Oryctolagus cuniculus: one gene and its partner. The protein of the gene in region 1 binds, or shares a complex with, the protein of each later gene. Links are inferred from orthologs where the notes say so. Each region holds a gene or a part of one and is shown on either strand. Other genes may lie near its edges.

Evidence for each region.
Region 2: the proteins of ARPC1B (region 1) and ARPC4 are in contact, whole or in part, in a cryo-EM structure (PDB 6YW6), measured with the Homo sapiens proteins. The link is inferred for Oryctolagus cuniculus from reciprocal best matches to the Homo sapiens genes ARPC1B and ARPC4. Residues at the interface, in NP_005711.1 of Homo sapiens: Glu9, Pro10, Asn28, Gln54, Thr72, Arg74, Asn96, Arg97, Ala98, Arg100, Ser143, Thr144, Cys162, Trp204, His206, Leu245, Pro246, His263, Ala319, Gly320, Lys326, Asn327, Ser328, Met350; in NP_005709.1 of Homo sapiens: Gln17, Cys21, Leu22, Glu23, Asn24, Phe25, Ser26, Ser27, Gln28, Val29, Glu31, Arg32, Glu45, Leu46, Leu48, Glu124, Gln125, Tyr127, Lys128, His129.

What each region holds. Positions count from the first base shown.
Region 1 is NC_091450.1:41,604,828-41,608,983, reverse strand, and holds the start of ARPC1B (actin-related protein 2/3 complex subunit 1B), read right to left. Parts: upstream 2,837-4,156; 5' UTR 2,704-2,836; intron 1-2,703. UniProt on the Homo sapiens protein: Component of the Arp2/3 complex, a multiprotein complex that mediates actin polymerization upon stimulation by nucleation-promoting factor (NPF).
Region 2 is NC_091441.1:116,912,173-116,915,812, reverse strand, and holds the end of ARPC4 (actin-related protein 2/3 complex subunit 4), read left to right. Parts: intron 1-383; coding exon 384-554; intron 555-2,636; coding exon 2,637-2,642; 3' UTR 2,643-3,552; downstream 3,553-3,640. UniProt on the Homo sapiens protein: Actin-binding component of the Arp2/3 complex, a multiprotein complex that mediates actin polymerization upon stimulation by nucleation-promoting factor (NPF).

The DNA.
Region 1 (4,156 bases):
GCCACCTCAGAACCCTTGGCCAGCCCAGCAGGCTGCTGGGTACCCTGGGCCGGGCAATGGCTGCTCACAAAGGGGACAGGGCACAGGGGAGGGGTGACCATGCTCGCCCGCCCCACCCCCACTGCCAAGGTCACCACCCCGGGCAGAAGCAGGCCAAGGCCGGAAGCCCACCTGCAACACTGTGACATCCGGCCAGGGCCCGGAGGAGGCTAACCCTCCCCCATCCCACCCCAGCCCGCAACCACAGCCCAGGAAGCAGGAACTGGGGGGCTGGTGGAGCCCAGACTCGGGGGGCAGATCCCAGTGTCAGGGCCTCGGCTCTCACACACGCCGTGTGCCCCAGGCCGTGAGGACGGAGCACAGCCGCAGGTCCCCGTGGGGGATGCAGCCGAGAGGACTTGGGGAGCACTGTCCCCCAATTCCTGGCACACACAGGTTCTCAGTGGGGGCAGGAGGTTCAGGGGGAGCCTATGTGCCAATCACACTGCGGCAGGAACTGAAACAGAACCCACCCCTTAAATGGGCAGGGCAGAGACAAGGGGGTGGCAGAGAGGAACGGTCCACTTCCCCATGTGGGTGGCTCCCGCGGGGGCTCAGCGATGACGCCCCGGCTGCAGCTTGGACTAAGGAGGAAGTGGGAGTCAGAGGGCTGAGCGGGGGCTCCAGACAGACCTGGGAAGCAGCCCCCAAGCCCCGCCACTCTGCCCACGACTCACTCCTTCTCAAGAAGTCCCCTAAGCCTAGGACACGGCACAGGGGCCGGGTGGGGCAGGCCCGCCCGCTGCCAGCCCCCTACTGCAAGAATGCAGCTGGGGCTGTGCCCACGGCATCAGCACTCAGCCGTGGCGCCGTGGGAGGCAAAGGCTGGTGGTGGCCGTGGCCCCCAGGACTCCCAGCCACACATCACCATGGCCTCCTTGGCTGCTGAACTAGAGGGGGGGGGCTCTTTCAAGGCTGTGCCCACCCCAGCCCCCAGAGGCCAAGTGCAACCAGCGGGGGGCAGGGCCAGGGGCCCAGTCCCTGACACACTCCCCCACTGGCTCCCGCAGAGCCTCACCATCCCGCACTCCCAGGAGCGCAGCCCACGCAGCCCACGCCCAGCAAGGGACCCAGGGATGGCGTGGGGGCGGAGCAGGGAGGCCAGAGCTCTCCGCAGCAGGGGCCGGGGCGGGCGGGCTTGGGTCTGCAGGGTGGGGCCAGGGCTTCCGTCCAGGAGTGCCAGAATGGGGGGACACAGCTTAGCTCACAGGGCAGGGGCTGGTGGGGTATTCCTGGTGGGGCAACCCCCCCCCCCCCCGGCGAGGGGAGCTTCTCCAGAAATGACGGGGGAAGGGGTGGCCGGCCAGGGCCCCCGCGGGCAGCCCCTCCTCGCCTGGCTTTGCGCTCAGCCCAGAGACTCTAGGCTGCATCCCAGGCCAAACCAAGCAGGCGCTCCGGGAAGTCCCCGCCCAGCGGAGTGCTCAGAGCCACTGCGCTCCGCGCTAGGCGGTTGCTCAACTCCGTGCAGCAGCCCCCCGGGGGCTCCTCCCCTCCTCGGCTCTAGAATCCTTACAAGCGAAGGCAGAGTCCAGGGACACGGGACGGTCACACAACAGTCACAAGACACCGTAACGCACCAGCGCGCGTCACCCACCCAGAGCTAAGACACACGGAACACCCAGTGCTGGCGCGGCTGTACAGAAAGCATCGCTGGACACGGGCAGCACCCCGCTCACCCGCACCCACTCGGGCGCGGCCTTCTGCACACGGGGTCACCCTGAGCGTCACGGGGGACAAGGCCACGGTGCGCTGTGATGTGACCGGGCGAGGAGCGCAACTCTCGGAACAGACCCCTGGCCACACGACCAAGCCCACTGCCCTCCCCAGCCCGGCCAGCGGTACACAGCCCCGGGCTAGCCCGACCCGTTCTCCCTCTGCTTAGCCACAGGAGGAAACAGACTGAGACCGCAGCTTGGGAATGGCACAGCTGAGGGCGCCAGCTCCAAACCCCAGCGGTCAGGAGGTCAGGGCCACCTGGGCAGACTCACTGGCCACCCTGGGCCGGCTTTACACCGGCCACAATAGCACCCATTTGTTGTCCGCCTGTGCCCGGCCCGTCGCCAGCTGTCTTATGAGACCTCGTAAGGTGCCCATTTTCCAGATGGGGCATGTTGAGGCTCGCCAAGCCTAGGTCAGCGGTCCGTAAAGCGGACATTTTTACCCAGTGTCTCTGAGACTTAAAAAGCCACGGGTGCGCCTGACTTCCGGGAGCCGTGGCTTCCGCGGCCACTGCCCCCGGGTGCGCCCCTCCAGCAAGGGAGGCGCCGCACGGCTCCGGGCGCCCCGCAGCTCAGAGCGGCGCAGCCTGGGACCCCGCAGCCTGGGACCCCGCGGGCGGGGCGGGTGCGGCTGGGCGTGGGCGCCAGCTCATTTCCCGGCCGCCGCAACCCGGAAGGCTCGGGGGAAGTGACTGGGCAGGGGGCCCGCCGGCCCCAAGTAACGGGGCCACCGCGGCGGCGGCGAGGCCGGGCCGGAGGGGGCGCGCGGCGGGGCGGCGCACGCGGGCCGGAGCCCCCCCCCCCCGAGCGCTCCCGGGGCGCACAGCCGGCTCAGCGCGCCCCTCGCCCACCGCCGCCCGCGCCCCGCACCTCCGGGCCCCCTCCGCCCCCGCGCGCCCCACCTGCGGGCGGCCCCCGCGCCCCCGCCCCAGCCCGAGCCCCTCACCTCGGGGCGCCGCGGCCGCGGACTCTGGGCAGTCGACGCGCCGAGCCGGCTCTGCGCCCCGCGCCGCGCCGCAGCCACTTCCTCGTGGGCGGGGGGCGGGGCCTCGGGGCCGAGCCCCAGGGCCGGGGGCGGGGACCCGGGGCGACGGCGGTCGCGGGAGGCGAGGGCCCGCCCAGCCCTCGGGGTAGAGGGGCGGACGTCGGCGCCCGGCGCGCCCGGCGCAGCTCCGGAAGGGGAAACTGAGGCTGGGGGCGAGGGGCGACTGCCCCCACCTGCCAGGGCAGGAGGACCCCCACAGACTCGGTCCCCGGCCGCGGGCGCCGCCCCTTCGCGGGTGTAGACGGCGCCGGTGCCGCCCTCCCGGGGCAAGGCGGGGGAGGCCCAGGGGCGGGGGGACCGCGCTCCCCGGCGCCGGCTCGGGCCGCTCCAGCCCCCGGTCAGCGGGGCGGCAGGGCTCCGCGCTGCAGGGTGTGGCCGTGCCCCTCGGGCCACTCAGCCCCGGGCACGCTGCGTTCCACGCGTCCGCGGGGCTGGGAGGACTCGCCGTGTCCGAGCGCGTGGGGGCGCCCGGGCTTTCCAGGAGGGCCATTGCTCCCGGCGCGGAGCGGGGGTCCTTAGCCGGGGCCCCCAGCTCGCTGCTCCCGCAGGTTTGTTCAAACAAGGGCTGCTCATCCCACGTTGTCCCCCGCCTCCTTCCTGGACCTGGGACCTGGGACCTGGGACCTGGGACGACCCCATCCAAGCCCGGCCCCCGGCTGCGGGAATCCCACAGAAAACAGGTCAGCCTGAGCCCAGCCCGCAGCCCAGGCTCAGGTCCGCTTCCCGGGTGACCTGCTTTGCTTTAAAGCTGGCTTGAGGGCTGTTTGTTTTTCCTCTGCTGCCCATCCTCAAAAGCCCACCTCCTACTTAGGAACATGGACCTCAGGGTGTCTGGCGCCTGGCATGCGGGAGTGTGCGGGGATGAGCGACTGGGCAGTCGATCCTGGTCCTGCCACTGCAGCCGTGCCCATTTCCACGTCCCTAAGGTGAGGCCGAGGGGCCTGGGGACGGGACACGGACCTCACACTGGGGAGCCCTGGGCCGCATCCCCTCAGCACCCCCCTCCCCCAGGTTAGCGGAGCCTGGGGACCGGAGAGAGAGCTGCTGCTTCCTGGAACCGGCTTCCGCGGGATGGCTGCGGTGGAGACGCCCCGCCCCCTTGCTCAGGTTTCAGGGCTGGCTGAGCTGCAGCCGGGCGGCCTCCTCCTGGTCACGGGACGACGATGGCCAGGTTGCCGGCAGGCAAGCAGGGCAGGGCGCTGGCCCAAGCAGCAGGAAGCCAGGCGGGAAGGCTGCTTGGCACAATCTCCCTTGCGTCTCCGTGGCCATAAGAGGGACGTGTGTCCATCCTCGCATGGGAGCTGTGGGTGCCCGTCTCCGAGATCAGAGGAGTCCCCCCGGTAACTGTTGGTGG
Region 2 (3,640 bases), on another chromosome or scaffold:
GTGCCGGGTTCTCTCTTCGATACTCTTGGATGCCCCTTCTCCCCAGTAGTAGAAGGCCTCCATCCCATCCTCTTCCTGAGTCTTGTCTCTGGAGCACACGTTCTCTGTTTTGTCGGCTTCTTCTGTAACAAGATTTCCAATCCCCTTCTCTCTCCTCTGACTCATTCTGAATGCAAAGATGTCTGTGCCGCACAGAGCCTTCCGGAGATGTCTGGACGCTGTGTCGTCAGCCGCGTTCAGTCGTTGGATCCAGGACAGGCACCCGCCGGAGCTGACGGGCTGCTGCCTGTGAGCAGATCCCTGTCGTCCAGAGCTTGTGGATCAAGTCGAGGATGGGCAGCCAGGCGCCCGGCATTCAGTCTCTCCCTTGTCCTGCTCCCCAGGGATACGACATCAGTTTCCTGATCACCAACTTCCACACAGAGCAGATGTACAAGCACAAGTTGGTAGACTTTGTGATCCACTTCATGGAGGAGATCGACAAGGAGATCAGCGAGATGAAGCTGTCGGTCAACGCCCGCGCGCGCATCGTGGCGGAGGAGTTCCTCAAGAACGTAAGTAGGCTTTTCCTGGTTTCCTGGCACGTGGGAAGGAGCTGTGGGGCTTTTCCTGGTTTCCTGGCACGTGGGAAGGAGCTGTGGGGCTTTTCCTGGTTTCCTGGCACGTGGGAAGGAGCTGTGGGGGTGTGGGGAAGTGAGCGCCTGCTGGCAGAGTGCTGCCAACAGCCCGTTCCCCGGTGAGCTCTAGAATTGGCGGTGCGTGGCAGGTTCGCCGGGCGCGGTGGGCACCCGTGTGAGGCTGGTGGGGGTGTGTGCAGTGCCTGTCAGTCTCCGTGGGCACGCACACACGGCAGGTGTCTGCAGAGTGCTCTCCTGTTCTAGGTCACACCCCAGACGAAGCAGTGCAGCCCCGAGGATTTCCCAGGGCTCTGCACAGTCGGTCACGCTGTAGACTAAATATTTCCTCCCAGCGTCTCTCAGAGGCTTAAAGTCTGACTTCCTTGGCCTGGTTTTCATCGCTCTCGTGACTTGGGCCGTTCAGATCCTGCTGGAGTTGTCCGCGCCTTTCCTGACCCAAGGGCCTGCAGCCCCAGTGTTTGCACGGAGGAGCTGAGGACACCGTTGGTCTTGTTCAGACGTTCGGGATGTGCCTTCCTGTTTTTTTTTCTTTCTTCTAAACAGTCTTCGGGTTGTTGACATGTTCCACTCAGAGTTGACTATGCTCCTTAGATGGTAACTCGGTGTTTATTCCGATCACTGCACGCAGAGCTGGCCCAGCAGCAGCGGGGATTCATTCCTAAAAATGGAAACTACTCCCGCGGCCCCGGGGCAGGTGGCCAGCGCGCAGCCGCAGACCACCTGGGTGTGATCTGCTCCTCGGCCCACTTGGGCAGGCCGCTGCACCTCTCCGCTAGGCTGCAGCTCCCTTGGCTGTTCATTAACGTTGGCCTTTCAGGGTAGCAGAGTACAGAAGGAGACAGGCACCTTGTGTGGAGCAAGCTCACAGAGGACCCGCAGGCCTCGAGAGGCAGCTGTGAGGGAGAATGGCTCCTGTCCCAAGTTAGTGGTTGGCCTGCTTGTTCAACATTGAGTTATTTACGACAGCTACGGTTTCCATAGAGTTTTGTAGCTAAGAAAGCCTGTGTACATGTCTGACTTCATAGTCAGTCTTTGAACCCAGGGTTGCCACCATTCTGCAGCTGAGTGAACCAGGGCTCTGGGAGTGAAGTCACTTCCCAAGGACCCATAACAGTCAGCGGAGGAGCCAGAACATGAAGCTAGGTCTGCCTCAAAGAGCTCACATGGCCTCGCAGCATCTGGCCGGGTCAGGAGGCCGGGGCAGGGCGGGGTCTAGCGGGCAGTACCTGTGTGGTGTGCGCTCGATGCACAGGGCCTCGCCTGGAGAGCCACGCAGCCCTCCCTCCAAACAGTTCAGGAGCCTCATTTGTGTCTGGCACCCCAGTGTTCGAGGTTGGCCGCTCGTCATATTCTGGTAAACACTGCTCGTGCCAAACAGTGCTCCCTTGGATCTGGATCAGCCGGGGGCACATTGTAGACTCCAGTCTATAAAATGTCCAGGACTATTATGGGTATTATCCAGAGGTACTTGAGGACAGAAGACTTTATTTCCAGGGCCTGCCATGGTTGGAGGGTGGCTCGCAGCTTGGGACAGAGTACCAGCTCTTGGAGGGTGGCCTACAGCTTGACAGAGCACCAGCTCTTGGAGGGTGACCTACAGCTTGACAGAGTACCAGCTCTTGGGCCTCTTTTCCCTTGGGTCCTCGGGGGACTTTTCTGTGAAGCCCCGAGGTGAGAAGGCAGCCTCAGGTCACCAGGCAAGACGCTGCCAGATCTCTTGTGCCGCCTCCAGGGTGCAACCCCAGGAAACCGTGGAGGCGCCTCATCACTGTTGTCTCGCTGCCTGGTCAGGTGCAGGGTTTGGGGCCTGTGTTCCCACAGGTCACTGCTGAATGCTGGCTGAATTAGCAAAAAGCGGGCCTGTAGGGTGTCCTGGGACCCAGCCGCACCCTTTGGTCTCAGCCCTGTGGCGGCTCTCAGAACTGCCCCTAGCCCCACAACAGGTGCGCCAGGACACCATGGTAACCACCATTCACTGCCTCTTGGTTCTCTTGACAGTTTTAAAGCATCGGGCTGGATCTCGCGACCTTCCCCCTCAGACTCCCCCGTGTCTCTGCGTGTGTCTACGAAGGCGTCCTGGACTCACTCCCCAGAGCGGCGGTGGCGGCGGCGGCGGCGGCAACTGCGGGGAGCTGGGGCAGGCATTAGGTGCGGGAGGGGGTGGTATGTGTGCTTGCTAGCTGGGCAAGAAAGCAGCACTGGACGTGCCCCAAGGCCACACGTGCCTGGTCAGGCTGGCTTCTGATGCTCAGTCCCCTGGGCCGGGACAGGTTTTTTTTTTAACGTCTTGAAATTTAAACTCTGTGCTTGTAGGAGACTGTAACCTTTTTGTCTTTTTTTTTTTTTTTTTTTTTAAAAAAACAACCTCCACCTCCAGTGGCCGTGACTGGTCCCAGTGATTGTACCTTATTGGTCGCCGTGGGTCTGGGCGGGCCTGGAGCCGAAGGCGACCGTTCTTCCTCCCAGTGCCACCCCAGGCGGGGAGCAAGGAAGGTTTCAACTCCAGTTCCTCTCCCTGGCCCTCTAACTCCTGAGCCTCCTTGGGCCAAGCAGAAGTGGTGGGGACCCTCTGCCAGCTTCCTAAGCTCTGCCTAAGGATGGCCAGCCAGCACTGGCTGGGGACAAGGGCTGAATGGGTGACCACCAGCCATAGCTAGAAGCTGCAGCCCAACAGCCAGGCACCTTTGGCTGCAGTGGCCACCGGTGGCCTCCCAGCTGCGAGGGGCCACCCTTTGGCCTTGTCTGTCAGAGCAGTGCCCGCGCTCAAGGTAGAGGTGAGTCCTGCAGCGCTGCCTGGCCAGGCCTCGTGCCTGCTCTGGCTCCTCTGCTCCCACGCGCGCTGTCTTCTCTCCTGATTCTGGTGGACCTCCCTCCCCTAATTAAAGTCTCTTCTTGCCCCTTTGGGGCTGCATGAGGTCTGTGCTGTGTGTGTGTGTGTGTCGGAGGAGGGGCAGCCTGGCTTTCTGCCCCTCGGAGCAGGCGCAGTCTTGTGATTGGTCCTG